Linked DNA regions of Notamacropus eugenii. The protein of the gene in region 1 purifies or fractionates together with the protein of each later gene. This does not show direct contact. Links are inferred from orthologs where the notes say so. Each region holds a gene or a part of one and is shown in the gene's direction. Other genes may lie near its edges.

The links.
Region 2: the proteins of CASK (region 1) and SNTB2 purify together in Homo sapiens (affinity purification with mass spectrometry; 3 studies listed by BioGRID and IntAct, with this or other methods). This does not show direct contact. The link is inferred for Notamacropus eugenii from reciprocal best matches to the Homo sapiens genes CASK and SNTB2.
Region 3: the proteins of CASK (region 1) and ARHGEF26 purify together in Homo sapiens (affinity purification with mass spectrometry; 3 studies listed by BioGRID and IntAct, with this or other methods). This does not show direct contact. The link is inferred for Notamacropus eugenii from reciprocal best matches to the Homo sapiens genes CASK and ARHGEF26.

Annotation. Positions count from the first base shown.
Region 1 is NC_092876.1:432,451,758-432,462,133, forward strand, and holds the start of CASK (peripheral plasma membrane protein CASK), read left to right. Parts: upstream 1-6,071; 5' UTR 6,072-6,201; coding exon 6,202-6,260; intron 6,261-10,376. UniProt on the Homo sapiens protein: Multidomain scaffolding Mg(2+)-independent protein kinase that catalyzes the phosphotransfer from ATP to proteins such as NRXN1, and plays a role in synaptic transmembrane protein anchoring and ion channel trafficking.
Region 2 is NC_092872.1:708,564,642-708,574,472, forward strand, and holds the start of SNTB2 (beta-2-syntrophin), read left to right. Parts: upstream 1-5,270; 5' UTR 5,271-5,281; coding exon 5,282-5,939; intron 5,940-9,831. UniProt on the Homo sapiens protein: Adapter protein that binds to and probably organizes the subcellular localization of a variety of membrane proteins. May link various receptors to the actin cytoskeleton and the dystrophin glycoprotein complex.
Region 3 is NC_092877.1:371,107,920-371,118,006, reverse strand, and holds the start of ARHGEF26 (rho guanine nucleotide exchange factor 26), read left to right. Parts: upstream 1-5,113; 5' UTR 5,114-5,229; intron 5,230-5,628; 5' UTR 5,629-5,716; coding exon 5,717-6,817; intron 6,818-9,804; coding exon 9,805-9,844; intron 9,845-10,087. UniProt on the Homo sapiens protein: Activates RhoG GTPase by promoting the exchange of GDP by GTP. Required for the formation of membrane ruffles during macropinocytosis. Required for the formation of cup-like structures during trans-endothelial migration of leukocytes.

The DNA of each region.
Region 1 (10,376 bases):
TTCAGAAAAAACTGGAAAGACTTACATAAACTGATGCAAAGTGAAGTGAACAGAATCAGGAGAAAATTGTACACAGTAACAGCAATATTGTTCTATGAAGAACTATGAATAATAGCTATTCTCACCAATACAATGATCGAAGACAATCCCAAAGGACTAATGATGAAATATACTATCTGCCTCCAGAGAAAGAAATGATATCAATTAAATACAGATCGAAGCATGCTATTTTTCACTTTCACTTTTTCTTTGAGTCTTCTTGTATAAAATGATTAATATGGAAATATTTTATATAACTGCATAGGTATAACCTATATCTGATTGTTTACCATCTCAGAGAATTGGGAAGGGAGGAAAAGAGGGAAGGAAGGAATGATAGATTTTGGAACTCAAAACTTTAAATAAAATTGTTTAAAAATTTTTTAAAATCATAAATGTTAAAAGGCAAAATTATTACACACATCTATAAGACAATAAGATATCAACAAATACATGTAACACAATCAAAAGTTACAACATAAATGGAAACTAAGTAACAATAACCAGAGTAAAGAGTAGGCCAAGGGCGGGGGGGGAGAAATCATAGAAACAGTAACTATATAAAAAGGAATGATAGTGATAAGAGAAAATGATAGTTTCTGAGATGTAGTTAAATCAGTCTTCTGAGGAAAAATTATATCTCCAAAAACATTTTTAAAAAGTGAAAAAGAATTAATGAGCTGAGTGAGTAATTTAATAAACTAGAAAACTGAAAAATTAGCAAACTTCAATCAAGCACAAAAAAAGAAATCTTGAAAAAATGGGAAGATTAATAATAGAAATAGCAAACAAACATACTATGAAATGATCAAAAAAGCCCAAGCTTTTTGTTGTGGTTGTTCTGCACATAAAAATCATGTCCCTGAATCAGCAATATTTTGGGGAAGAGAGATTTAATTCTAGACCAGTACTCTTCTCAGAAAATGACCAATCTTTTGGTCCTTCAAGGTAGGAATTGCAGTTTTTCTTTGAAATGGGTGGATGATTCCAGAGATATTTATTAATTCCTCTATGCATTTCATTTAGATAATCTATGAAGACATATACATGAGTACCACACCCCTTATGCAAAGAATGGCAAAAATACTGTCCCTGTCCAAAAGAATCTCATGTGCTAATGCTAAAGGGGTCAACATATAAATATGTAGATACAAGCTGTATACAGAGTAGGTGAGACAAGATAATGGCAGTTTGGAAGGAAGAGGTGCTATGACAGGGGCCTAAGAATTAAAAATGATTCTGACCATAAGTTATTGATTTTTGATCTGATTATAGTACTTTGTAGAAATCTTCCTTGTACTTACTGGATTCCTAATAAATATCTGTTGAATCTAATTCAGGAACATATCACTTTTTAAAAGACATTTCAATAAAAAGTGTAATAAGAAAAATGTCTTTTTTGGATATGAGGAAACAGATTGAGAGAGCTTAAATGATTTACCATAGGGCACACAGCTTAGTAAGTAACTGAAAGAATCTGAACTCAGATCTAACTAGAAATCTAGTGCTCTATCCACTGTGTCTTGGAGTTGAGAAGACTTGAGTTCAAATCTTGAGCCTGAAATTTGCAATTAGACCTCTGACTTTGGTCTTATTATTTGATTTGTACAACAAGTGGAAGCACAGGACTGCTGTGGAGTTTTGAAGGTGAAGATAAAAGAGACAGGCAGAAAATTCAGGCTAGGCTGATAGTCAACCTGTTTGTTCCCCTGGCCATTGGGCTCTAGGCAGTTTTGCTGCCCCAGTCATTTTTAAGCATTAACCCTTTCCAGTGACATGGGGCTTCAACAACAGATAGTTCTGAAAGATAGTTCCAGGGGCCTGAGATGAAATTACCCTGGTCTCTTTGAATCAGTCAGCAGCAGAAGACAGAGCAATTCTACAATTCCTGTCCCATTCCTTTCGGGTCTACTGCAGCCTCAGCCTAGTCTATGCTTGGCGCTCAGCCTGCGACTATGGAACCCCAAACCCACCTTTTCTGAATCTCCTGGACAGCCTGCAAATGAATCCAGCCCCCTTACCCCATTTACTGAACTACCTCTGGAATGTATACATCTCCATGAACATATCCCAGGGTAGAGTCATTGTGCTCTATTGCCAGTCCTGAATATCCTCCACCTGGCAATGGCAACAGCTGAGTTTCAGAAAAAGTGAGAAACAGAGGGCATCTACAGGCAGACCATTCCAACCCTCAATGAAACAGGGTCAATCTTGCTGAAACACAGAGGTGAGTACAGGTGAAAATGAAAAACAAGGTCAATACTGGACAAAATATTGGTTTGGGACAGCCTAATTCTCAGAAGAACAAGTAAAGAGTTTTGGGGGAAACTTGCAGTTGGAGGGACTGCTTATTGATCCCTCTACAGTTCCTAGGCTTATTGCAGTTGAAAGAACAGGAAGATCAGATAAAAAAAAAAGAAAACTGCTGAAAAAACTTTTTGTCATGGGCAAGACAATATCGTCATTGGGAGGAAGATTAGGAAAAGGTGATTTTTATTGATGAACTTCATTTTTCATTCAAGGCTTTATCAAAACTTATCAGAAGTCTGAGTAAGCCAATAAATGTTTGAGTATTTTTTAATTCCAAAGGTACTGGAAGTCTTGTCTCCACTGAGGGAATGATGAATTCTTGTATACATATACGCACACACTCTATATTTCTATCTACCTATGTAGGTATATGTATATATACATATATGTATATATACACACATACACATATATGTATATTTATTGAGTAGAATTGTTCCATAATTACAGAAATTCCCAAATGGAAATGGAATCCTACAATATGATCTTTCATCATGTCACCCATCAGAAAAACAATTAAGAAATTTATCCAAGAATTGGAGATAATCATCCTTCAGTGATCTGGAAACTCATCTGATTTACATTCCATTGGAAATTTATGGAAATTTATATAATAGACTTGGAAAAAATCAAATATTTGTCAATGGTACACTTAAATTTCAATTGTATAAGGATGGGTTCTTGATCAAGAATTACATTTTACTTGTCAAAATTCTGTGAACTCAATGCCAAATCATGTGAAATGCGACAGGACATATTGCATAATAAAAAATTTTAAGATGTAAAAAGTTGTAAGGCTTGTTTTTGTCAATTAGTTTAAGTATTTTACTTTATGCTGTGTACACAACACTATATTTCTTCTAACTCTACCTGGAAGAGAGACTCCGAGATGTATTTGCATAAAGATGGTCATGAGGGGTTTTTTTGTTTGTTTGTTTGTTAGAAGAGATTGTAGATAACTTAGAAAAGAACGGTTTTAGTTGTGAGTAGGCAGGGATAATGAATAGCTGAAACCCTGGGAGACTGAAATGATGGTGCTGCCATTCACAAAAACAGGTGTTTGGAAGACGGGTGAATTTTTGGGCAAAGGTAATATAAACACAACCTACCCATGACTGTTCTGAACTACTCCCTCTTGTTTACCGAAAAATGAAAAGTGGAATGTCTTACTCATCATACATTAGCTGACAGCACAGGTTCACCCCTTGCAATGATGGGATTGGGACAGAGGATAGGAGTATTCCTTGCAAGCAGTATAGGGTGCCTTGGTCAGCTTAGGTAATAACCTTTCTGAAGAGCCCAAGCTTGAGGTAGAAAAACTGGAGACCAAAGGTGGGAGTTAGGATTGGGGAAGGGGTAGAGAAATATTGAAAGCGGCGGGCCAATTGTGGAGAAAAGTCATTAGCTGGCAATGGGGGCATCCTTGGAGTCGTTCTACATCCCTCCACTTTGGAGATCTCAGCAATAGCACAGAATATCATCTATGCAACTTTTGGTTGCTTTCCAGGGACTACTGGACTCTGAATTGAAGCAAAACTATTGCTCTTCTAGGAAAAAGTTGCACTTGCTAATATTATTGGAGTCTTCTGAGATGCGTAAGATGAACGCTTACGGCCAGGATTCTTAATGGAGCAGGTTTGGGGAAGAAAGGAGGAGGGAGAGCTCTGTTTCTTGAGAGAGGGTTCAAGTACATGCACAATGCACAAGCAACATTTGAAAAGAAACTATGTATTTCTCTTTAGCGAATACTGTAGCTGTTACTTTATTACACTAGAGAATTTTACTAGATACTTTGTAGCGCTTGTCACTTAAGAACTGCTTGGGCACTTTTTCTTTGAACGCTGAATGGAGGGGGGAGGGGAGGTCTGTTTGAAGGATGTTTTGCACATTCTGCACGTGTTCAGGGAAGCAGAATTTCCAGGCTGCCTCACGCTAAGAGTTCAGGATACTCACTGCACCTTGTCTGCAATTCCTTAGGCTGCATTTTCTTCCTGGTTCGTGGTGGCCGTGTTGGGTTAGCTTGTTAGGGTTAGAAGGACAAGAAAATGGGAAAGTAAAAAAAAAAAAAAATTCCCACACTTCCCTGCTTTGATCCGAGGGCAAAGCACACTATGACCAGTGTTTGTCAGCACACCCAGGATCACGGGGGAAATACAGCGTGTTGCAAAAGCTATCAAAACTCAAAACTGCGCTAGGACGAACACCCCAAACCTAAGTGGTTTCCCCCTTTAAATGGCTAACACAATTGTTCCGCTGGAAGGAGTCGCATGGGTGGCATGCACAATCTATGTGGCATACCTTTGTCTACAGCTACCCGCTAGCCTTCTAGCGTCCTCCTCCATATGGTTGGACACGAGTCCGCCTTCCCCACCCCCTTCACTTCAGTAAAGAATGACGGGATGGGCCTGAAACCGTCACGGAGGAGCCTTCCTTTCCCATTCACTAAGGACGAAGCTGGAGCGCGGTCCCGCTCCCCGGGGAGCAGAGGGGGCACGGAGCTTCTCTGCAGCCCACAGCACTGCCACCTTCACGCAGGCGGCTGCACGCCGTGCCACTTCTCTCGGGCGACGCAGGGAAGCCAGCCTTCTTCCCTCCCAACCTGCACACGCACCTACAGATCCTCCTCCCCTTCACCCCCCACTCCCCACCCCGCCGTCGTTGCAGGAGCGCCCCCCCAGGCAACTGCACCCTTCCCCCTTCACCGCGCCCCGCCTTTCTCCCCATCCCTTTCCATCCCTTCTCCGCCTCATTTTCCCTCGTTCCCGTTCGCCGTGACGTTTCACCGGCGCGCGCATGCGCCGTGCACTCCCATCCTACTCCCCTTTACTCTCCCGCCGCCACCGCCTCCTGGAGGGGGGGCGGTGAGGGAGGAAAAAAGGGGGCGGGGCCTGGGGTTCTGGAAGCCGCGGCCGCTGTTGCCGCTGCAGCGGCCCGAGAGAGACAGGGAGAGGAGAGGAGAGAGGGAGGCTGGGGTGGGGGAAGGAGAGTACGAGTAGGCGGTGAGGCGTGTGTGTATGTACGTGTGTGTGTGTATGCGGGGGAGTCATCCGCCAGGAGCCTCGGAGGAGCTCGCAGGAGGGGACGTGCGGCGGCGGCTCCTCGCCCGGCTCGGGGACTGAAGAAGGGAGAGCGCCTCGGCGGCCGCCGCCTCCCCCATCGCACCCCGCCCCGGCTCGGCCCCCTCCCCTCGCCCACGGCGCGCGCTCGCTCGCTCACACAGCCCGGGCGCGGCGGCGAGAGGAGGAGGAGGAGGAGGAGGAAGAGGAGAACGAGGGGGGGGGAGCGGCGTCTTTGCCCCCGCCTCCAACCGTGACCGCCGCCCCCCCCCCCCCCGCCGCCGGAGTCCTTCATGGTCCTTCCCCGGCCCCCCCGCTAGCCCGAGGAGCCACCGCCGCCGCCAGGCGGTGGAGAGAGCGGGGCGGGCTGGGAGGCGCCGCCGCCCGCGGACGCCGCAGGGGAAGGTGCGGCCGGGCAGAGGCGGACGAGCGGAGGGGCTGCCGCGGCGGTCGGTCCGGGAGACCGGAAGGAGGCGGCGGCCCCGCGGCCCGGGCTGTGCCGCCGCCGCTCGCGCCGCCGGAGGATCCTTGCTGGCGGTCCCCCGGCCTGGAGGCGAGCAGGAGGGACGAGGACGAGGACGAGGCGGCTGGCTGCAATCCCCCCGAGAGTCCTCCTTGGCCGTCGTCGCCGCAGGTCGTGCCGGACCGAGCGTTCCCGGCTGAGAGGGCGAAGAAGGGAGCCCGCGGAGGGTGGTGGTGAAAAACAAAAAGCACCCACAGAAAAGCAAAGAAACACTGCTGTGGGCGGCGTGACTGTTTCTTGGGCACCCTCTCCGTTTGATTCCCCCCCTGGACCATGGCCGACGACGACGTGCTGTTTGAGGATGTGTACGAGCTGTGCGAGGTGATCGGCAAGTAAGTCCTCCCCTACCTGGGGGGAGGGGAGCGTGCCTGGGAAGAAACGCGTTCGCTGGCGCCCCTGGCCCGCCCCGCCCGCCGCCTCCTCGGGTCATCCCCGTGCGTACCTGAGCCCGGAGCCCGAGCGGGGCCCTGCCACCTCCCTCCCCGGAGGGATCCGATCATTTCATTCCCCCACAGCCCTGCGTGATTTCGGGCTGTTTACATTGTATCTGACGGCTGCCGCACATGGCCTTGGCAGAGCTGACTTGGTAGTCGCTCTCCGGGAGCACTTTGGGTTATCGGTACCACCTCACCTACTCAGGCCACGAGGAGAGGCTGGCATCTTTGTTGGTTGTTGAGTGGGTCGGGGGCGAGCTGGGGCTGGGGGGCCGAAGTGGACGGTTGCTTGGTTTATGGGGCGTGTATCCACCGGACTTGATATACGCCTTTGTGTCCAACCCCAGGACCTTATTGGAGGTGGCCGCTTAAGTCTACCTAGATTAAGGTTCAAAGGAGACCGGATTCGGGTTTTTAATGTCTCGTTATGCAACAATTATTCAAACAAATGTTCATTGCTTCTGTCAAACTGGAGTTTGGATAGTTGTTTTGGCGTGGGAAAGATAGATGTATGCTTTGAGTCACTAGTTTGGTATAGTATACGACAGTGACAGCCAAAGTTCTCATCCTTTTTATCTTGGTTGAGGAATGACACTAGGAAAAAGCCAGGGGATCCAATGAATAACAGTGCTGATGGAGTGTGAAATCTGCAGTCACTCCTTTGGGTTTTTTTTCCATCCTTTAAATTCGTTTTTTAATAGTTCCCCTTATAGACTATCTTAAATGCACAATTCTGTTTAACGAATTTGTGAATGAAATGCTGTTGATTTGAGGTTGGCTTTATTTTAGTTCTGCATGTAATTTGCACATTTAGAAGTTTGAATGGCAAGATGTGAAACTGGCCTCTCTCAGATGAGTTTGACAAGGGTCCTTATTAGCTCATTGCTTTTGGGGGAGAATGCTTTATTGTCTTCTAAGGTCTAGAACTGGGAATGAAGTCTGAGATCCGTTGTTAGAGAAACTACCTTGAACTCGAAGGCATTTTGCAGGGAAAGAACTGAGTCTAACTACCTTAGAGCGGGCTTGAAATCCTGCCTGTGAAGCTGACTATCTGTGTGACCTTGGACGAGTCACTTGAACTTTGTGAGCCTCAGTTTCTTCACCTGTAAAATGAGAGGACTAGACTCTCAGATGGACAGCTCTAGATCTGTGATCCTATGATACTAACTCTTCAGAGTATCAAGAAGAATATTGAAGAAAAAAATGACTTTTTCCTAATCTCTCCATTTCTTAACCCTAGCAAGTACTTGTGGCACTTACCTCTTCACTCTGCCCCTGCAGTTCCCAGTGTCCTTTACCAAGTTGGGTACTTGAAGTTGTAGATTTGCAGATGTGTATTTTATCTGTTTCACTAATTCCTGAGTATGAAAAGTGGGTATGCTGATAATGTTGAGCATAGGTTTAGAAGGGAGGTTCAGATATTGTAATAAACTGTAGTTCCCACATGATGAAATTGTGAGTACACCTTACATATTTTACTCATTGATTACTATGCCTACGTGTTCTTGTTTAACCAACTAGTATATCCTAACGTTCTCCTAACACTGTGGTGCGGTAATTATTTGAAGCTTTAGCAATTTCAGAAAATAGGATATCTTACTAAAAACAGAATGAAAGTATTTTAGGTATACATAGAAAATTCAAGAAATTAAAAAATATAAAATAGTAGTATTACCATTGGAAAGAGTGATCAGAAACCAGTTTTGCTAACTTAATTTTCTTTTCTTTTAGTTAGAATGTGTTGCAATGGAAAGAAGGCTAAATCTGGCTTTGCTTGCTACAAGTGTGACTGTAGACAAATCACTTCCCACTCTGAGCCTCAGTTTCCTTATCTCTTGGATGAGAATTGAACTAGAAGGTCTTTTTCAGCTCAGACAGTCTGTGATCACTGATGATACAAGTTAGGTTAGAGTCTATTTAAAATAGATGATGGAGTCATTTTTGGCAGTCAGTATTTTGATTACTTGAGATTATTTCTGCTTTTCCTCCCCCTCCCTCCAAGCTCAAAGAAAGCTTCAGAACAGTTGAACAAACTGGTCAGTTAATTTTAGACTGGCTTGAGAGGAAAAGCTAGTTTTGAACTGGTACGTTTTGAATCTATCTTAATTCCTCTGAAGAGTCAAATCTTATTGAAATCCATAGAAGACAAAAATCTCATCTGGACTTGGTATTGCAAGAGCGCCATTTATTTTCTTTGATTCCTTTAGTGAATTCTCCTGTGTTTTGAAGACAGCATTTTGAGGAAAGAATGTAGTGATGGTGATTCTTGACCTTTGGAAAGTTTGAGAGGGTTATAAGTAAATCCTTGCAGCATCTATTGAAACTGGCTTAGGGACTGCCTTCTGTAGACACTTGGAAAGCACGTAATTTTTTTTTTTCCTGGGATGTGTTGAACTGTGGATTGAAAAACCTTGAAGAAATTCACAGAGAAGGGGCTTGAAAGCACATCAATATTGTTATCTAGCTACTGTGACAGTCTACAACTTTTGTTTCTCTCCAACTAGTCTTATAAGGTGTTTTGAGTTATGCCATAACTGGCTTTAAGTTCCTGCTGAAAGTACTTTGAAGGAAATAATCTCTTTGGCAAGTCAACAGGGAAACAATTTTATATTTATTCGGTTGTTTAACAAATATCAGTTAATCTTATTTTGTGCAAGACCACACTGTTAGGCGCAGTAAGAAAGTTACACATTTTGATATACTTTGAGCTTGTTTTAGGAGGGTTTGAGTGTTTCCTGTTGAGATTATCCTCTTACAGTTTCTAAAAATGTTAGCTTGCAAGTTCTTTTTCAGTAACTTTGGAATGGGGATAGACTGGAAAACATTTCCTAGGACAAATTTATTTTGGCCTTTATAGTTATTTTGAGTAATTAATCTGTGAGGGAAATACATCCTTACATCAGGACATTTTGAAAATACCTCTGTTTTCTATAGATTACTTACATTTGAAACATTTCTCTAAATTTTAAGAGTCCAATATTATGTTTTGTTGGTTAATACCTTTGAAGAGACAAGAATTAAATTATAATGGTGATTCTTTAACATTTGCAGATTTACTGGTTAAGAAAATATAGTTGTTGCTGGTAAGGGAAGGAATTAAATTGAAGATATTAGAAATTTTTTACATTATTTTATTGTACTTTGTGCAAACTTAATATAAAATAAGCAATGGATACTATTATATATATCATAAGAAAATTTGAAATAATTGTTGGAACGAAGACATAAACTCCCTTGTTTATAGTTGTTTTAAGGGAAGGGGAACAACAAAATACACATAATTTTCACCCTTATTGATGGTATACCTATGATTGCATTTTGTGAAAATAACAAATTTTTAAATATTAAGTCTTGTTTCATCCCCCATCAGCCCCCCAGAAATGACAACATTGCAGAACAAGAGCAAAGTTAACAATAAAGTTGTAACAAAAATGTTATTGTTCAGGTAGATGATAATATTTTTAAAAGCTTAATATTATTGTGTAATGCTTCATATTTGGGGGAGTTACTGTCTGAAAACAAAAAATGCTTTTTGATTGTAAGTGCTGAATTGAAAAAACCAAGACATGGATTTTACCTTCTGTGGTTTCCTGGATAGTGATAGGCACTCTGCTAAGTTCTAGGGTTACAAAAAAAGGCAAAAAGAGTTCTGCCCTCAGGGAGCTCATATTGTAATGAGGGAAGACCAGGTAAGACCATCTCACACTTAGGAGGTATTTTTGAGATAAATTGGAGCTAACTTTACCCCACAGGGAAAGCACTGGGGCTATGGGTTGGAGAGAGAGAGAACAAGAAGGCGGCTTCTTACGGAAGGTGGCATTTGAGAAGAGTCTTGAAGGGAGCCAGGAGGCAGAGATGAGAAAGGGGAGAGTGTTTCAGCCGTAGGGTATAGTAGCCAGTTAGAAAGTGCAGAGTATGGAAGGTGGAGTGTCATGTTCCAGGAGCTGCAATTAGGCCAGTGTTCCAGATTGTAGAATACAGGGCACTGAAATAAAGTGTAAAAAGGGTCTAAGC
Region 2 (9,831 bases), on another chromosome or scaffold:
CTTTATTCTAGCCTAGTTTTCTCAAGAGGGTTTGCTAATATAGCATTCCCTAGTCACCCTTTGTATTGTTAATGTATTTTTGCATAATGGGAAGATCTTTCCCATCCATTAATAGGCCCACGTGACCTGCTTGAGTCACATGGAAACCTGAGTACCATGAGTCTGTGGTGGGATGAGCTTGCCCAAAGGGTGAAGCAGGAAGAGTGGAGCAGAACTGAGAGGAAGCTGGTCACAGCAGTTAGAGCTGAGGGAGAGAGAGGAAGCAGGCAGCAAGATGTGAGTTGTTCATTTGTGGGAAAGTCCTAGCAGGGGGAAGGCTTGGGGATAGTAGTGCCCCTTGTATTATTGTGTATAGATTTCTTTGTTGCTATGATGGATTTGGCTTTCTACTGTCTGTTATATTTTGCAATTCAGAATTATGCCAGCATATTCACAGCCCCCATAGATGCTATGAATATTTCCTTGGCTCTACACCCTTCTCACAAAGACCAGAGTGAAGGAGGGGCAGCTACCTCTACATCTCTCTTGATGGAGTCAGTCAAGACAGGCATAACTTGTGCACTCCCTTAAATCCCCGCAAGCCTCAGTGGGGGCCTGTTGAGGCAAATACAGATTCCCCACTTACTGATCAGTGCCCACCTGCTTTATAGGGCAACAGACAAAGAAGGCATATTGCTGACAACAGCCTCACAATTTTACATTATATCTCATTGTGCAGTTGCAGTGGGTATTTTCAGTTTTAAGCACAAATGTCTATATTATTTATCATTATGTAACGCTGCACAAGTGTGGTGGAGATGTTTACCTTGAGACACTGAGTGCAAAGCATGAGCCTGGGAAATAGAGATTTTGTCCATGGATCCTGAGGAACTGAACTCTAAGAAGAATAACAAAAATCCACCTTACACACGCTAAAGTCCACCTTACTTACTCTGTGTGACCCTGGGCAAGTTACTTAACCCTGTTTGCCTCAGTTTCCTCAACTGAAAAATGGGGATTATAACAGAACCTACCTCCCAGGGGTGTTGTGAGGAGCAAATGAGATATTTGTAAAATACTTAGCACAGTGCCTGGCACATAACAGACACTTTATAAATTCTAGCTATTGTCCTCATTATTGTTAATACTATTACTTCTAGGTTACTTACTCTCTGAACCTCAGTGTCCTATTCTGTAAAATTGGGATAATAATACTACCTACTCACAAGTTTGTACCAGTAACAGTATGTTGTCTTATATGAATGATATTTATTATTCTTATATTATTAAAGATAAAAAATTCCCTCAGGAATTTTCAGTTCACCTGAGGATCTCTGATGGGTATAGAGATGAGCAAAATACCAAGTGAGATGCATGGTTATACAATAAAAAAAAAAAATCAGTATTATGGTAAATAACCCATTAGATTCCCAAGGGGAGATTTAAACAAAAGGTACTGGAACAATTTAGTCAATAGTCAATAAACATTTTTTTAAACTATGTGCCAAGCACTGGGGATACAAATTAAAAAAAAAAAACCGTTCCAGTCCCTTAAGGGCATAACAGTCTAAAGGTAGAAAACATGCAAAATGAATCTGAAAAGTTGAGAGATGGTGAAATGGAAAAGCCAGAAATCCTGAAGTCATGCAGCCAGGTGGAAAATGAGACATGTATGTCCTAAGCAGAAGGTAGTGATGGGATGTGAATATCAAGGTTGATATGATCTTGCAGAATGATGAATCTTCCCAATGATGAGGTCCCTGAGGCATGGTAGAAAGTCAGAGAAATCCTAGCTGAGTGCAGCCAGATGAGAAATGAGATTCCAATTTGAGTAGAAACACAAGCTGGGGTAATCAGCAAAGCTAATAAATGACAACTGTGAAATAAGTGATAGAGACAAGAAGTGAATGCTCATTGACGGCATTGACTGATGGGCTCTTCCTTTGTCTTCTCTTCAACCTGCTAGGTGATTCCTAAATGTTCCTAGAATTCAATGTTCTTGGCGGTCAGAGGAAAGATGGATTTCAGCTGGGGCTAGCTGTTATAATGTTGGAAAAACCCATTAGCCTCCCAGCTGAAGCCTGAATTCTTGTGCTAATTCTCACACCAACTCCAATAAGACTTTTATAGTCCTCCTGGAAGAGGAAGTGGAGGACTCATTTTCCAAGTGATATAACTTAGATTTAAGGTCCTTTCAAGTTCTACCAGTCCAGGTCAGTTAATGGATTCAGTAGAATTTAAACCAAACCTTTAAGGTTGGATAGAATTTCTAGGGACACAAGAGGAAGACAAATATTTTGGAAGGGACTCGGAGGCAGAGAATAGTAAAGGCATATTTAAAGGGACAATGAATAAACCAGTTTAGCAGGTTCATTTAAGGAAATGGTGGGTAGAATAGGCCGAAAGGGAAGGCTGGGTTCAAATTAGGAAGGATATTGAGTGCAAAGCTAAAGTGTTTGCTGATATGGCAAAACTTCAAAACTAAAACTTCATGGGGAAGTCTACCAGAGATTTTTTAAAAAGAGAAGAAGCATCCCATACCATCCAAATTCTAACATTTTTCCCTCTACATCTCAATTTTATATAATTTGCCCTTCTGATCATCAAATTACTTTGTAGTTATCCTAATGGGCCTGGTACGTGCGTGCGTGCGTGCGTACGTGCATGTTGTATGTGTGTGTTTCCAGGCTGTGCAGGACGACAGGGCATATCTGGACCTGTTGCAGATCCAGGAGGTCTCTTTGCAGTGGATTTAGGGGGAGGTCTGCTTTTTTTAGCTTTGATGAAATTTACAACTTGGAAAATCCTGCCTTATTGCAAAACAAATCCTATTTTAATGATTTTTAGTAAGGTCGGAATTATATCTTAATGGGATTGATAAATCTCTGACTAGATTTTTAAAAAAACTAACTCTAAGACTTTGAGAAGGAGGTAAGAGGTATACAGGATAGAGCACTGGATCTGGAATCAGGGATACCTGAGTTAAAATCTGGCCTCAGACATTTAACAGTAATATGACAGTGGGCAAGTCACTTAACCTTTGTTTGCCTTAGTTTCCTCAACAACAAAATGGGGATAATCATAGCACCTACCTCTCTGGGTTACTGTGAAGATCAAATGAGAGTATTTGTAAAGTGCTTAGCAAAGCACATCATAGGTGCTTAATAAATGCTTATTGGGCTTATTTCCCATCCTCCTCCCTCTGAGACTGTTTGGATTCAGTCTCTACCCTCTACCATCATGAGGATGAAGACTTGTTGTTAGAAGTGACCACATGCATTTCAAATTCTAACTCCAACTCACTTTAGATATGTGATCCCCATATGGTCATTTAGCCTTTCTGAACTCATTTATCTAGAAAACTCATATCTAGAAATATTTTTATAAGTAAATACATTCATTTATCTATGAAATGAAGATAGTAACCTGAAGCATCTACCTTATAGATGTTATAAGGGTCAAATAAGAAATGTATCCTTGGTAAAAGGGAACTGGATTTGTGAGTTAATTGGTTTGGGGAATTCCCAGGTGTGGAAATTCCCTCTACCAAAGCAAGTTTTCTGCAATTTAACTGTCTTTGAAAGTTGCGTAGAGCACTGAATGATTAAATGAGGAGTAGGGGGGAGGGTTATGGTCTGTATGCTTCAGAAGTAGCACTTGAATTCAGGTCCTCTTGGTTTTGAGGGCAGTCTTGTATCCACTAGAGCATGCTTTCCCTACAAATATCAAGTATTATTCATTCAAAACACATTCTATCTGTAAGGCACTGTGTTTAGGTGCTAGACTCAAAAGACAAAATAAAAAAACCTACCCTTGAGGAACTTAATGGGGATTTATGAGGGGCGTTGGAGTTATGAAGATGTTAGGTTCACATTTGCTCTCTTAAAGTCTGTGAAACCCTGGTCATATCATTGAGTCCCTGTTCTTCTGACAACTCTACTTAATTCTACTTAAGTCCCTGGAGGGTTCCGTATTGGTGGAGGGAATTCAGACCCCTGGAGTTCCCTAAGCAGACAAAAAAAGTCACAGAATCTTCCATCTTCCAAGAGCACATGGATCCTTTGGAGTTTACAGGTGTCAGCATGTACTTTATGGACAGGCTCCATGAACAGAGCCTGTTTTGATCTCAATTCAGCTTTACAAGAATTATTTATTGAGCCCTTAGGATCTGTGGGAAATGTGTGAACCTCCTCTCTGGTGCTGGAGGCCACTCTGACAATCCGGCTGCTGACAATTCTTTTGTAGACCAAACCCTTTGAGCTGTTTGAGCTCAGAAAGAAGCTGCTGGACGTGGGGCCCATGCAACCCAATTTCACAGGCTAATAAAGAAATTACCAGAAGGAATTTTAATTTTCCCCAGTTGCATTTATTAAGACATCTGGCAGAAACAGATCAAATTTTTTTGTGGTTGAGGGCTAAGGAGACAGCTAGAGCCCAAAGCAGTTATTCTGTTTCCATAAAGAATAGCAGAACCCTGAATCTGGAGTCTGGAACGCTGGCTTCAGAATGTTCTAAGTGGTGCCCTGGGTGCAGCTTGGCTTCCCCTTCTGTTACTGCAGGGGTCAAAACAAAGTCTCTGCCAGCTCTGCTCTGACACTCTCAATTCTAAGGTCCCTCTCAGTCCTGACATTCTGTGTTCTGAGGGTTGGTTCAGCTCTGGGCTCTATTTTCTAAGGCCCCTCCCAGCTCTAACATTCCATGTTCTCAGTTCCCTCCCAGCCCTGACATTCTGTGTTCTATCTAAGCTTCCTTCCTGGGTCTGACAGTCCATGCTCTAAGTAAGTTCCCTTCCAGCCCTAAGCTCCCTTCCTGGGTCTGACAGTCCATGCTCTAAGTAAGTTCCCTTCCAGCCCTAAGCTCCCTTCCTGGGTCTGACAGTCCATGCTCTAAGTAAGTTCCCTTCCAGCCCTAAGCTCCCTTCCTGGGTCTGACAGTCCATGCTCTACGTTCCCTTCCAGCCCTGGTGTTCTGTGTTCTATCTAAGCTCCCTTCCTGGGTCTGACAGTCCATGCTCTACGTTCCCTTCCAGCCCTGGTGTTCTGTGTTCTATCTAAGCTCCCTTCCTGGGTCTGACAGTCCATGCTCTACGTTCCCTCCCAGCCCTGGCGTTCTGTGTTCTAAGCCATCCCGGCCGGACTTTCTCGGCTCGAAGAGCCCTCCCAGCAGTGACCTTGTGCTGGGAGATCCCGGCACCTTAAGCTCCCCCCGGGCTGGCCAGAACCAGTCTCTCCCCCTCCTTCCCGGAAGCGGCCCCGCCCCCGCGGTAAACGGAGGAGTGGGCGGGGCCTCTCATGAATAATACATGGTCGGGCCCGGGGGCGGGGCCTCGCCCCCGCAGGCGGGAAGGGGGAAGCGCCGGGACTCCCGGCTGGGAAGGAACCTGGCCTCGGCGGTGGCGGCGGCGGCTGTGGCGGCGGCGGGACCCGGGCCGGCCATGGCGGTGTGGACCAGGGCCACCAAAGCGGGGCTGGTGGAGCTGCTGCTGCGGGAGCGCTGGGTGCGGGTGGTGGCCGAGCTGAGCGGCGAGAGCCTGAGCCTGACCGGGGACGCGGCGGCCGAGACGGACCCTCCGCTGGGGCCGGTGCTGGCCGCCTTCAACGGCCTCCCCAACGGCGGGGGCGGCGGGGACTCCCTGCCCGGCAGCCCGAGCCGCGGCCTGGGCCCGCCCAGCCCTCCCGGGGCCACGGCAGCGGCCGCGGCCGGGGGCTCCCCGCCCGTGCGGCGCGTGCGGGTGGTGAAGCAGGAGGCGGGCGGCCTGGGCATCAGCATCAAGGGCGGCCGCGAGAACCGGATGCCCATCCTCATCTCCAAGATCTTCCCCGGGCTGGCGGCCGACCAGAGCCGGGCGCTGCGGCTGGGCGACGCCATCCTGTCGGTGAACGGCACCGACCTGCGCCAGGCCACCCATGACCAGGCCGTGCAGGCGCTGAAGCGGGCCGGCAAGGAGGTGCTGCTGGAGGGTGAGCGGGGCCGGGCTGGGGCGAAGAGAGCGGACCGGGGGTGCTGCTGGAGCGGGGGCCCGGGGGAGGCGAGCGCGGGACGGGACGGGGGGAGAGTGCTGAAAAAGGAGGTGCTGCTGAAGAGGGGGACCGGGGGTGCTGCTGGAGCGGGGGCCCGGGGGAGGCGGGGACAGGACGGGGGGAGCCGTGCTGAAAAAGGAGGTGCTGCTAGAGGGTGGGGGCCGGGGGAGGCGAGCGCGGGACGGGACGGGGGGAGAGTGCTGAAAAAGGAGGTGCTGCTGAAGAGGGGGGCCGGGGGTGCTGCTGGAGGGTGGGGGCCGGGGGAGGCGGGGACGGGACGGGGGCAGCCGTGCTGAAAAAGGAGGTGCTGCTGGAGGGTGAGCGGGGCCGGGCTGGGGCGAAGAGAGCGGACCGGGGGTGCTGCTGGAGCGGGGGCCCGGGGGAGGCGGGGACGGGACGGGGGGAGCCGCGCTGAAAAAGGAGGTGCTGCTAGAGGGTGGGGGCCGGGGGAGGCGAGCGCGGGACGGGACGGGGGGAGAGTGCTGAAAAAGGAGGTGCTGCTGAAGAGGGGGGCCGGGGGTGCTGCTGGAGGGTGGGGGCCGGGGGAGGCGGGGACGGGACGGGGGCAGCCGTTCTGAAAAAGGAGGTGCTGCTGGAGGGTGAGCGGGGCCGGGCTGGGGCGAAGAGAGCGGACCGGGGGTGCTGCTGGAGCGGGGGCCCGGGGAGGCGAGCGCGGGACGGGACGGGGGGAGCCGCGCTGCTAAAGGAGGTGCTGCTGAAGAGGGGGGCCGGGGGTGCTGCTGGAGGGTGGGGGCCGGGGGAGGCGGGGACGGGACGGGGGCAGCCGTGCTGAAAAAGGAGGTGCTGCTGGAGGGTGAGCGGGGCCGGGCTGGGGCGAAGAGAGCGGACCGGGGGTGCTGCTGGAGCGGGGGCCCGGGGAGGCGAGCGCGGGACGGGACGGGGGGAGAGTGCTGAAAAAAGAGGTGCTGCTGAAGAGGGGGACCGGGGGTGCTGCTGGAGGGTGGGGGCCAGGGGAGGCGAGCACGGGGTAGGACGGGCGTGGGGGGGAGCCCTGCTGAAAAAGGAGGTGCTGTTGGAGAGAGGGGACCAGGGGTGCTGCTGGAGGGTGCGGGCCAAGGTTGGCAAGCACAGAACGGGGGGAATCGTGCTCTAAAAGGAGGTGCTGCTGGAGAGGGGGCACGGGGTGGGGGTGGGGGGTGAACACGGGCTTTGGAGAAGGACTAGGGGAAGCCGCGCTGCCAAGGTCCTGCAGGACAGTGAGTGGGGGGACTGGAGGGAGCCGACGGCCGAGCAGCGCGTGGCTTCGACCAGCTCTGCCTACAATGTCCAGGACTTGGTTTTGCTCGTCTCCCCTGGAACTCACGCACCCTTTCTTCCTAGTAAAGTAGGTTTCTGGTCACCAGCTTGGCATTTTGGAAAACCCTGATGACTCTAGTTGGAAAAGTTCAGCCACAGCCGAAATGCTTTATAGCCCTGAAAATTCAGATTTATTTGGGGCAAGATGGGAACTTCTAAGTGTTTCCATGGGATACTTTTTCATTATTTGTTAAGGCTTGGCATTCTCCCCTGTATGACACCTTTTGGATTTAACTGGAGAAGTACAAGACCGCCGCCGCCTTCTTTTCTTACTTCTCTCTTCCCTAGATGGGTTTTTAAAAAATGCACGTCTGCTGTAGATTTGGGCATACCACCAAAATGCTGATTAATTTATGGGAATTTAACTCATCATTGACTCTCAACAATAACCCAACTAGATCTTAGCGTTTCCTTGAAAGGTACGAGACTGAAAAGGCAAGTTTGTTTAGTTAATGAGCCTTACTTTACAATGAAGGCACACTGAACTTGAAGGTTATTGCCAAGATAAGAGTTTTGCCCCTTTTGTTTAGTTTACGAAAGTCTGGTGCCAGTCTCAGGCTTGATTTTTTAAAAGACTTTTAAAACTAGAAACTTCAGGTAGAAAAACGAAATACAATAGTAGACTGGAAAGTTCAAAATTATACTTTATTAACTGTACTTATTACTTATGACAGGCTGCTTATACTAGTGGATAGAGAGCTGGCCCCCCAAACCTGGAAAACCTGAGTTCAAATCTAACCTTTGACACAGAGACTCTGACCCTGAGCAATGTGACTTAACTTCTTGGTGCTCCAGGCACCTCTTTTAAGACAGGAAAATTGCCAAGAAGGTGCTGACCGACTCTAGTAGAGGAAGTTAGTCACAATGAAATCACATATGTCTTATCCTTATTATTTACATACGTTGATTATTAATTTATATTTGATCCACAGTGTCATATAAACATAGTGTTGATGTAATGAAATGATTGTAGTAGACTGCATAAAAGTTGTGAAAGTAAGGCTAAGAAGTTCAAAATGAGTCAGCAGTACAACATTGTATGTGGCTTACTATATCAAGGGAAGTGTAGCGTCCAGAAGTGGGAGTCTGACTATCCTGTTCTGCTCAGATGTCATTTAGAGTATTGTGATACTCCGGGTACCACATTTTAGGAAAGACCATATTTGTTGACAAACCAGAGAGGAACCAGAGGAATGCCCCCAGTAAGGTCAGGGATCTTGAGAGCTTACCTTCTGAGGATCTTTTTGGGGAAAAAAAAGATGGTAGGATATCTTTGTAATTATTTGAAGGTCTCTCATATGGACGAAGAATTAGACTGTATCTATTTATCCTCAGAAGGCAAAACAAAGAAAAGTGAGTAGGACAGACTATTTAGGCCCTTTCTAAAGGAATACTTCCTGATAATTCTAATTGTCCAAAGTGGACCTGGAATGTAGATTTCCTTTCACTAGTGGCCTTAAAGTGGAGAGTATCCTGATTCAGTTATAAATTAGATTAAATGGCCTTCTGATACTGAGATTGTCTTTCATACAGTAATAGGGTGATAAATTTTATCTGGAATTCAGAAGCTGCATGCACCGAAAATAGAAGGCCTGCCTTGGAGTGAGGAAGACCTGGGTTTAAATCATTCTTCTCACACAAACTAGCTGTATGATCAAGAACAAGTTGCTTAACTTCTCAGAGGTCCAAGATTTGTTACAGATAAATTGCAGATTTGTGTAGGTGGAGAGAATTTCCATACCTGGACCTCCCAACACTGATGAAATCAGGACTAGACTGAAAAAAAAATCTGGCATGCTTGGAAAACAAGGAAGAAATGGAATGATTCTTTAAGTAGGGATCTTTAAGGGGTCCGTGGGTAGAGTTTAATAGTTTTGTGAACTTGGATGGGAAAAAATACATCTTTATTCTAACATAATTAATTTTCTCCATAATCTTATATTTTTTATTTTATGCATTTAAAAACATTCTACAAAGAAATCCATAGATTTCACCAGACTGCCAAAGGAGTCCTTGACACAGAAAAGGCTAAGAACCTCTACTTCCAAGGAAAGGGGGGAGTGTGTAGAAGTGATTGTAATAATGATTTTAATGAAGCAAATCACCTTATTTAGAAATGTTTGATTTTATCTTTTTATTAATTGAGTCAACCAACATTTATTAGGCACCTATTGAATACATACACTGTACTAGATACTGGAGATTCAGAGGGAAAAAAAGTTTCTACCCTATGTCTGATATTTAAACACAGAATAATTTTGGAGGTGTGGCACTAGCAACTGGGATTGGGTGTCAAGGAAGGCCTCATGTAGAGACTGACACTTGAGTTGAGCTTATTTTTATTTCACTTACTGATTTCATTCAAGTCATTCAGCATTTCTTAGGTACCAGCTTTGTACTTTGTGTACAGTGTTGTACTATGGCCAACGAAAAAGAAGTAAAATATTTGCTTATAATCTAGTTGGTATTTTATGTATTTGTATTCTTTTTCTCTAAGGGCAAAAAAATACAGGAT
Region 3 (10,087 bases), on another chromosome or scaffold:
GAAGATGCAATTAGGTTTTGTCACTACTTAAAAAGAGAAAGATAAAAACAGTTGAGGTTCATGAGGATGTGCCTAGAATTCTGGACTTGGAGCCATGAAGATCTGGGTTCAAATTTTACCTTGATAGTTTCTAGCTCTATGACCATAGTCAAGGCATTTAACTTTCCTCAGACTCAGTTTCCCCATCTGCTAAATGGGGATATACAGAAACTTCATAGGATTTTGTGAGGTTCAAATATTCAGTGCTTCCTAAACTATTTCCCTCCTTTGGGGGGATTCAATCTCAACCTGTGTTTTCATCAGTACAGATTAGGAGTTTCCCTGCAACTAATAATCTTAGAGTTTCTGGGGTGCACATAGAAATTCAGTGACTTGCTCAAGGTCACACAGTCAGAGACATAACTTGAACCTTCCTCTTTATAAGTCTGGCTCTCTACTCATAACTCCATGCTCTCTCACTTACTGATCAAGTTTCAGAACAATCCAAATAAAATGACAAGGAAACACAACATCATTACAGCACTATTCCCTAAGCAACGCCCATCCATGCACATCACTAGTCCTTATTCCGAGCTTCTCTAAGTTTTCCATTTTAGGTTCTCCAACAATTTGTTCCAATAGCCATGAAGGTGGCTGAAGCAGGCATTGTGGACTGCTTAGAGCTTGGTCAGGCATGGAAGACACCAAGGTTAGGGTTAGGGTTAGGAGTAGACATCCTGGACGATCACCAGTCCTCTTGACTTTTGTCTAACCACTAGATTTTGGTGATGTTGAAAGGGAGGCTGATGACTTTGTGCACTTTTGCTTCATTTAAATGCAATTTATGTACAAGTCAAAAACCATGCCATGATGTCATTGGTCCTCTCTGAAAATGAAGGGCAAGGTTCTCCATAGCGCTGGAATTCTTTGATCCCTAAGCCAGGATGTCTATTAGTTTTCCAAGGTGAGATTTCCATCTGTGTGACATCTGTGGACTCGTAGAATTTTAGAACTTGAAAAGACCTCAGAAACTGTTTGGTCTAGCCCCGTCATTTGGCTGATGTGGACATACGGGCTACACGATGCGCTAGATGAAGTGCTACTAGTTCCAGAGTTAGAACATTCAGACTCAGTTCCTCACAATGCCATTTTCTCTCATTTTTTGCTCTGTGGCTGATAAGCTGCTAGACCTCAACTTCATCTCCCATAATTATAGTTGCAATCAATGTGTACGTAGTGCTTTGAATTTTGCAAAGTGCTTTGCATGTATCACCTTATTTAAGCTTCACAAAAACCTTATGGGGGTAGGTTTAAAAGGTAGTATTAGATTATCCCCATTTTACAGATGAGGAAACTGAGACTGAGGAACATCAAGAACTTGTCTAGGATCAAAAAGCTAGTAACTGTCTGATTCAGGTCTTCCTAACTCAAGAGCTGGCACTCTATTCACCCTACCACCCAGCTACCCTACTTCCAGCATAATAGTATTCTATATGCACATGTACCATAATTTATTCAGTCATTTCCTAATTGATGGGTACCCCTATAACTTTGGTGAACAAACTTTGTTTGCCTCTGATTTTTGCTGGGAACAAGCAAAGCCACCTGCTATCCATCTCAGATGAGTTGATAATACCTAGTTATGATGTTTCTCATTCGTGTCTAACTACTGAGTCCTAACCTTTCCTTAACCAGCCCCCTCATCCCCTTTCCAGGGAGGGAAACAATGCTAAGTGGTCAAGTTTGATCTTATATATTTGTTCTTCCAAAAATAAAAGAAGGATCTTCTGGAAATAAACATTTGTGTAAATCTTTAGCCAGTTTCTTCAAAGCCTGAATCTACCTCCACTCATACCACACATTATCTGTCAGTGTTTCCAAACCATGATGGGGAGGATGTGAAGGTAGGATAAGAGATGGGAAGCGAGAGTCTGGGGTAAGGCAAGGAAGACCCACTCTAAAGGCTACACAACGAAGTAGCATTGTCACTTACTACCTGCGTGACCCTGAGCAAGTTATTCAACTTCTCTTGGCTTGTTTCTTCATCTGTGGTGGAGAAAACAAAAACAAAAACAAAAAAACCTGAGGGGATTAGACCAGATGAACTCTAAGGCTCTTTCAGTTCTAGATTCTGCCTTCAGAGAAGTTCCAAGGGGCTCAAAGATGGTGTGGAAAATGTACAAATGGTGAAACATCTAACCACAGCAAGGTACTGTCCAATGTCTTCCTCTCTTTCCATACCTCCCCACATGATCACTCTATCTCTTTATGAGGGAAGCCCAGTGTAGGCTGGAGTCATATCATGAGAGTTTGTTAATTTCCAGTGTGAACATTTACACCTTGGGAACTGGCAAACGATATAAATCAGGCCTTGATTTATTGTTTTACTGATTCCTAGACTGAAGAAAATGAGGGCGAAAAAATTGGTAATATAGATTAAACTTAAAGGAGTGGCATGTATGATTCTTTTTTTCTACTGGAGAATCAGTTAACATTTATCAGCACACCACTAGAAGTATCTTGGATCTATTGATATGTTGTCATTTCGTTTACCTTTTTATTTGCAAGCAGTCAGAGTTAAGTGACTTGCTCAAAGTCACACAGATAGCTAGTAAGTATGTAAGGCCATATTTGAATTCAGGTCCTTCTGATTCCAGGGCTATTTTGACACCTCGCTTCCCCATTTCGCTTACTTCTTTAGCACCCTCTAGATGGCCTCCAGATGTTGGTTTTCTAGGTGTGACTCTTAGCACAGTGCCTTGGGCATAAGCACTGAATAAATACTGGTGGTAGTCAAAAGGCACTTATTAAGCACCTCTGTTGTAGCAAACATTATTCTGGCTCCTGGTGATACAAAGACAAAGAAAATGAAATGGCTTGTCCACAAGAAGCTTAAGGTCCATAGGGGCACATAACTACACACACACACACACACACACACACACACACACACACACACAAGGAAATGGTCATTGGTGGGTTGACGAAAGGATTCACGATCTTCTGGGGGATTAGAAAAGGCTTTCTATTGGACAAGATGTTTGAACTAAGTTTTGAAGAAAACTTGGGTTTCTCTAAGGCAGGGGTGAAGACGGGGTGAATTCCAGATTTGGGGACAATACCTGCAAAGGGACAGAGACTGGCACCACCAATGAAGCATATTACAAGAGGAACAGCAGAAAGACAAATTTTGGTGGATGGAAGAGAATATGAATGAATTGAGGGAATTTATGAAGATGGAAAGGTAGGTTGATGGCTATAAGGAATTTAAAGAGCAAAAAGAGGAGTTAGTATTTGATGTCCGGAGGCAATAGGAATCCACTGGATTGTACTGGGCAGAGGAGTTTTAGAAATAAAGCTGGCACTTGTTTCGAAGATTCCCTGGAAAGGAGATAGATTTGAGGTAAGGATGCCAAGTAGGGCCATTTCAATGGTCCAGGTGAAAGTAAAAAGAGTTTGAGCTAGGATCATGAGATATGTGGACAGAAGGGGGCAGATAGGTGCAAGAGATTCTGTGAGGTAGAATCTATGAGAGTGGACGACTGATTGGATATGTGCGGGGAGGAAGAGAGAGGCATGGAGGTGAAAGTTGTGAACGTTAAACTGGAATTTTTGTGCCTTCACTAGAGAGAAAATCTGGAAATCCTCTTCTCTCGTCCGAGCCTTTTCCCCACCCCCACCCCACCCCAGCCCCCTTCTCCTTAGATCAGCTTTCCTTGATGTGTGTGTGTGTGTGTGTGTGTGTGTGTGTGTGTGTGTGTGTGTGTGTGTGTACTGGACACCTTTAGCAAGCTGGGGAAGCCAATGGGTCTCTCCTCAGAATGTTTTAAAATGCATATAATTCATACGATTATAATGATATGGACTATAATGAAATAGTTATGAAACCATAAAGAAACAAAAACATGTAGATTAAGAGAAGTGGTCTTAAAATCTGAAAACCCAAGTTCAAGATTCGTATCTCATACTGGGCGACGCACATTTTATGGGGAGTTGGAGAGGGTGGATTACGAAAGCCCCTTTCAATTCCGAAGCTATATAAATGTTTCGATTAGTCCTGGCACTACAACTCTGGGCAAAGAGCAGGCATTTAAAAATGGCAGGTAAAAAGCTTTCTTACGAACTCTAGTAAAAGCCCACCACCATCTTTGTCACACACACACACACACACACACACACACACACTTCTTGGTCAGTAAAGCCGCCAGTCTCGTTCTGGAAGTAAGCCTTTTCTCTTCCCCGAGGTCTTCTAAGTCAGGATTCCGATGGTCCCAACCCGTTCACTTCCCCTAACTGGGCCTCAGTTTCCACATCTATAAGACCAGGGGGCTGGACTAGCGGTCCACCTGTGATTGGAATGGAAGATCCAGGAAGCCATCAGCTCTGAGGCCCGGGAGGGATGGCTACCCATCCCTGGTCGACTTCGCCTGCCTCGGTTTCCCCAGGCCGCCCACCCGGGAGCTGAGGTTTCAGAAATCTTGCTCTTTTCTGGCAGCCAAACAATCTCTGGTGAAACCAAGCTGCTCCCGTGCAGAATCCGCGAAGGCTCCTTTCTGTTTCTCCATCTCCGTCGCTATCTCTCGGAGTTCCTATGTCTCTCTGTCTCCTAAGTCAGTCCCGGTTTCTCGCTGTCTCTGAGTCGGTCTCTCCGTCTCTATCTGCCTAGGTCTCTTTCTGTCGAGTCTCTCTGGGTGTCTCCGTCTTTCCTTCCGCCTCTCCCGGCCTCCTCCCACCCCCACCCCCGTACCCTCAGGCCAGCTCTGCCCAGGACCCCTTTCAGGGGATCTCGGGGACCCCAAGCGGGCACAGCTTAAACCCCTTTCCCTCTCTGGGCGCCACACCCACGCCTCCTCTGGACTGTCCGCGGGTCTCCGCCCGACTTCTCTCTCCCTAAAGGCGGTCGCAGATTTTGTTCCCCCGCGTCCTTGCCTTCGGCAGGGCCGGGCCCCAGGCACACCCTCCCTTTCCCGATCCTAGCTGCTCACTTGTTCCCGGGTTGGAATGGAAGCCCCTTCCTCCGGGCAGGGTCCGGGACAGGCGGGGCAGGGGTAGGGGCGGGTTTGGGGCGGGGTCCTGCTCTCAGGGGCGGGTCGAGGGCGGGCCCGCTGCACTGGGGCCGGGCCAGGGTTCTGGGGCGGCTCTTTGCTCCCGCCGTCGTCTCAGCCTACGCCTGGGCTGCAGTCCGGGACCCGGGCCACCCACCCGGCAGACGGGTTCGTCGGGGCTCTAGGCTCTGAAGTCTCTTGGAGGGTAGGTGCGATCGCTCCTGCGAAGGGTTTCTGAAGGAGAAGGGGCGGAGGGATGGTCGCCCCTTTAGTGAGTAAGGGGGCTCCTCCACGGGAGAGTTTCCCCGGGAAATGAGAAATCCTCTCCTGGGGTGGGTCTCTGGAGCCTCGGCGCCCCCTCCCCCTCCCCAGGCTCAAGGATGGGGGAGAGGCTGGGAGGAGGGAAAGGGGAGCCTGTGGAACAGCTTCCCCACTCGCCCCCCACCCCGCCCCCAGCCCCTGTGCGGTCGCCCGGGGATGGCGGTAAAGTGAAGCAGTCCGCCCTCCCCTTGCCCTCCCCCACGGATGAAGGGGTGGGGGCAGGGGGCGCTGGTCGACTGCCCTCGTGTGATGGCTACCTCTCTGACTTCTGCCTTCTCTTTAGGAGACGAAAGCCCAGCCCGACCCGGCTGCGGTGTCTCCCTCCTGGGCCCTGTCTCCCCGCTCCTTCGGGGCTCCCACTAGGGTCCGCGATGGACCGTGGCGGCGAGAGCGAAGTGGACTTTTCGAGTCCCAACAACATTACCCCTTTATGGAGGAGGCGATCCACCCCGCAGCCCCAGCGGCTGGTCCGGAGCAAGCCCAGACCCCAGTCCTACCAGAGCCCCACAGGGTTGCTGATCACGGATTTCCCTGTGGAGGACAGAGGGATGTTCACTGGGAAGGAACCTTCCCACAGCGGGAGCATTTCTTCGGCTTCACCTTCTCCATCTCCGTCTCCAGACCGTAGGATGCTTCAAAGGAGCCCCGTGCTGTGGTGCCCTACTAGAGGGTCTGTGCCCAATGGGAAGGCTCTCTCTTTGGATTTCAGAGCTGTCTCCCAGAGGGTGCCGGCCGAAAAGTCACCCGGGGGCCATAGGATGGTGGCCAACCCTTCTGTGAGCTACCCAGGTACAGTCGCATCCCCAGAGACTCAAGCAGGGCACCCCCTGAGGATTCCCAGTGCTTCTGTCCCAAGGAACTCGGACGAGGAACTAATGGGACCGAATGTCAGAACAGGGTCTTCTCTCAGCGCATCTGTGCCTTCTCTTAACAATTCTCCTGCTCTCCCACTATCACCACCCAGCCATACTGCCAAGGACCCAGAGAGGGCGCCTTTGAAACTCTCGCCCTGCCCACAGAGGGCTCCCCCTGAACAAAAACTGTCTCCCCAGCGTCTGCCTTCCAACCCAGAAAAGCCTGTGGTCATTTTGAGTACCAACAGCCCAGCTGCCCTCAAAGTAGGGAAACAACAAATTATCCCCAAGGGCTTGGCCTCTGAGATTAAAATCAGCAAATCCAGCAGTCAAAACTCGGAGCCCCATAAGAGAGTCTTTAAGGTCCGAAGCATGGTGGACCCCATTAGTGCCCCACTGGTTCCTGCAAGTGATGGAGAAGGAGAAGCAGAAAGCGACTTAGACAGTCCTGGGTCCTTGCGGAGAGGCTTGAGGTCGACTTCCTACCGCAGGGCTGTTGTTAGCGGCTTTGATTTTGACAGTCCCACCAACTCCAAGAAGAAAAACAGAATGTCCCAGCCAAGTCTTAAAGTGGTCATAGAAGACAAGGAGAAGATCTCTAGCTTAGGGAGGATTAAGGTGAGTAAATTATTAGGAAGCAGGCACATACCCAAAGTGAGTTTGTGTGTGTGTGTGTGTGTGTGTGTGTGTGTGTGTGTGTGTGTGTGTGTTTGGAGGGGAGTGCAAAAGACTATTATCTTTTCTTGGTCAGTAGCTGATAGTCTCTTTGGGGCCTAATTCAGAGAGCTTGCTTCCATTATATACCACCCTGGGCCCTGCCACCTCTCCCCACAGCCAACCACACACCTTTATGACCATTTCAGTCCTGACTGGCATCACCAGAGGAGATCATACAATTTTCAATGAGTAACTTCAGGCAAAATATTTGCAATAGGAAATGAAAAAACTAATGTCTAATTCTGTTTGTTAGATCATCTGCAGAGCTCCGTTCTCCCAGCTGCCAGGGTGGGATTCCCACAGCAAAGGCTTGCCCATTTCACCCTTCCCCCAATCAATTCTAGTGGCCCCTCCTACCTTTAGGAGCAAATACAATCTCCTCTCTGGCATTTCAAACCCTTCTCAGGCTGGCTCTAGTCTTCCTCTGAACTGGCCTTCTGGAGGTTCTATGCATGTGGCATTCCTGTCTCTGTCTTTACCTGCCACAAGTCCTGGACTACACGTTGTCCTCCCCTCTGTCCTTAGAATTCCCGAGTTTCCTTCACAGCTCAGCTCTAGCACCACATGCTATCCAAGGCTTTTTCTAATTACCTCCCCCCAATTTCCTAGCATTTATTTTTACATATTTGTGTTTTCTTTTTCCTTCCTCTTCTCTATGTTGATGCCCCCAGGACAGTTAGTGGGACTTAGTTACTGCTTAATAAAAGCTTTTCAGACACTGTTAGGGATCTCCAGATGCACAGGAATGCAGAAACAGGACCTCCTCTCAAAGTGCTTCCATTCTAATAGGGAAACAGTTTTTGTGTGTACACACACACACACACACACACACACACACACGTGCCCATATACACATATATAATTATATATACAGTATACATAACATACATATATTATCTATATATATACTTATATTGTTTCATATATGTGTGTAAATATATATATATAGTTATATACATGATACCTTTTAGAGGGGAAGATACTCACCACCGGAGGGACCAGGAAAGACTTCCACTAAAAAAGGACTAATTCAGAGTAGAGGTTTGTTGAGGGGTGAATGGCAATCAGCCAAGGAGAAGCAGTATCTTGGGGGGAGGGGATAAGAACTATATCTGCCAGAAGAAGGAAGGAATATGAAAGAATGAAGTCTAAAATGCAAGAACATTTCTTAATTAGAGAGCAGGAATTTCAGAGGATACACTGCCTTAAATACATTGTCCTCACCTCTGTCTTTTAGAATACCTAGTTTCCTTCCAAGCTCAGTTCACTTCACGTAGCATTTCCTACAAAAAGTATTTCCTGATCCCTCCTCCCTGCTGCCTCCACTCCCCATCCTACAAAGTTAACGTCTGTTTCTTTTCTATATATCTACTTACATATAAGCTGTCTCTTCCTATAGAATATAAGTTCTGCAGGCACTATTTGACTTTTCATTTTGTAGGCTCAGTGCCTGGTCCTTAGTAACAGCTTAAAACACCCCTGCGTTTTATTGATCAGAACCACTCAGCCCTTGCCATTGGAAAGTTGGGGGACTGTGTGCCCATGTGCAAAGCAGCAAAGTTTTCCTGACGTGGTACCAGTGCCAAGTAGTATTCACAGTCCCACCCCTAGTGAAATGCAAATTCAAGTGTGTAGTGACTTCCTTCTGCCTGCTTTTCAGTGGCTTTCAGTGTCAGTAATTATCATTCAGAAATTATTCACTTCTTTCCCCCCAAATAAAATGTAATGACAAGTTATAGTCTCTCCTGGATCCTAAATCCTCTGACTGTAACCACTGTCACATTTGTTGTGTTTTCTTCGACTTTTCCTTGTATTTCATCTCATCTCTGACACTTATATATGTGACGATAGGAAGGCATTTAACTCAGATGCTCAGTTTTCCACATCTATAAAATAAGAATAATAAAACCTGTAATGCCTTCCCAGGGTTGTTATGAGATAATGGAGGTAAAATGTTCCACAAGACTTAAAAGTCCATGTAAATGTCAGCCATTTCTTTAAATGTCAGTAAATGTAGCCATGACTGCTATCTTGGTGGAAGGAAGGAAGGAAGGAAGGAAGGAAGGAAGGAAGGAAGGAAGGAAGGAAGGAAGGAAGGAAGGAAGAAAGGAAGGATGGAGGGAAGGAAGAGGAGGGAAGGAATGGAGGGAAGGAGCAAGGAAGGGAAGGAAGGAAGGGAAGAAGGGAGAGAAGGAGGAGAGGAAGGAAGGGAGGGAAGAGAATGAGGGAAGGAAGGAGGAAAGGGAAGAAGAGAAGAAAAGAAAGGAAGGGAAGGGAGGAAAGGAAAGAAGGGAGATAGGGAGAGAAGTAGGGAGGGAGGAGAGAAAGAAGGAGAGGAAGGAAAGAAAAGGGAAAGAAAGGAGAGAGGGAAATTAGATGTGTTCATGCATCCACTTTCTCAAGAAATGAGAAAAATCTCTCCAGTAGGTCAGAAACTTATTTTAGCTTGTATCCAGCTAACATTTTTGGCTGCCACATCTTTTCTTGATTAATCAGTGAACTGTAACTTGTCTATATAAATGTCATGTATTTAGTGCACATGAGAGTCTGTTTTATTTTAGAGGGTTATGGTCTTGTAGAAAGGAGCTTATATAATATTTTGTGTTTTATTTATTTTTTAATCTGATAGGAGAAGAAAGTTTAGTTCCAATGTCATGTTGTGAGATTGCTAGATCAGAGGTGCCCTTAGGTGGAAGTCATTGCTGCTTTGTAGGGCAGGCCTTTGTTTGTTAGGGCATCATCCCATTTACCTGCATGGCCTACATTTAGTAGAGATAATACATTCAGAATTTTTTAAAGACATAAGACAGTCTGCTGGCTTTGAAGAATTGTGCTCAGTCACACTGGCTCACATGTTTTGCTCTCTTTTTACTTTTCATATTTTGTAGAAGAAAATGCTGAAAGGTCAAGGAACGTTTGATGGGGAAGGTAAGCATTCAGTTTTCCACATAGATGAATTATTTTCTGTTTCAATCTGAAAACAAAATTACAATAATGTAAGAAAAATGACAGAATCTAAGCACCTTGAGGGCAAGGATTCCAATCAAAGGAACAAAAGAGCAAAATTGATTTAAAAATGCCCAAAGTATTTCCCCTCTTTCTGTATTATGTATTTCAAAGTTCTGAGTTGAAATATTGTCTAATAATACAAGCCACAAGTAAAGTTTATGA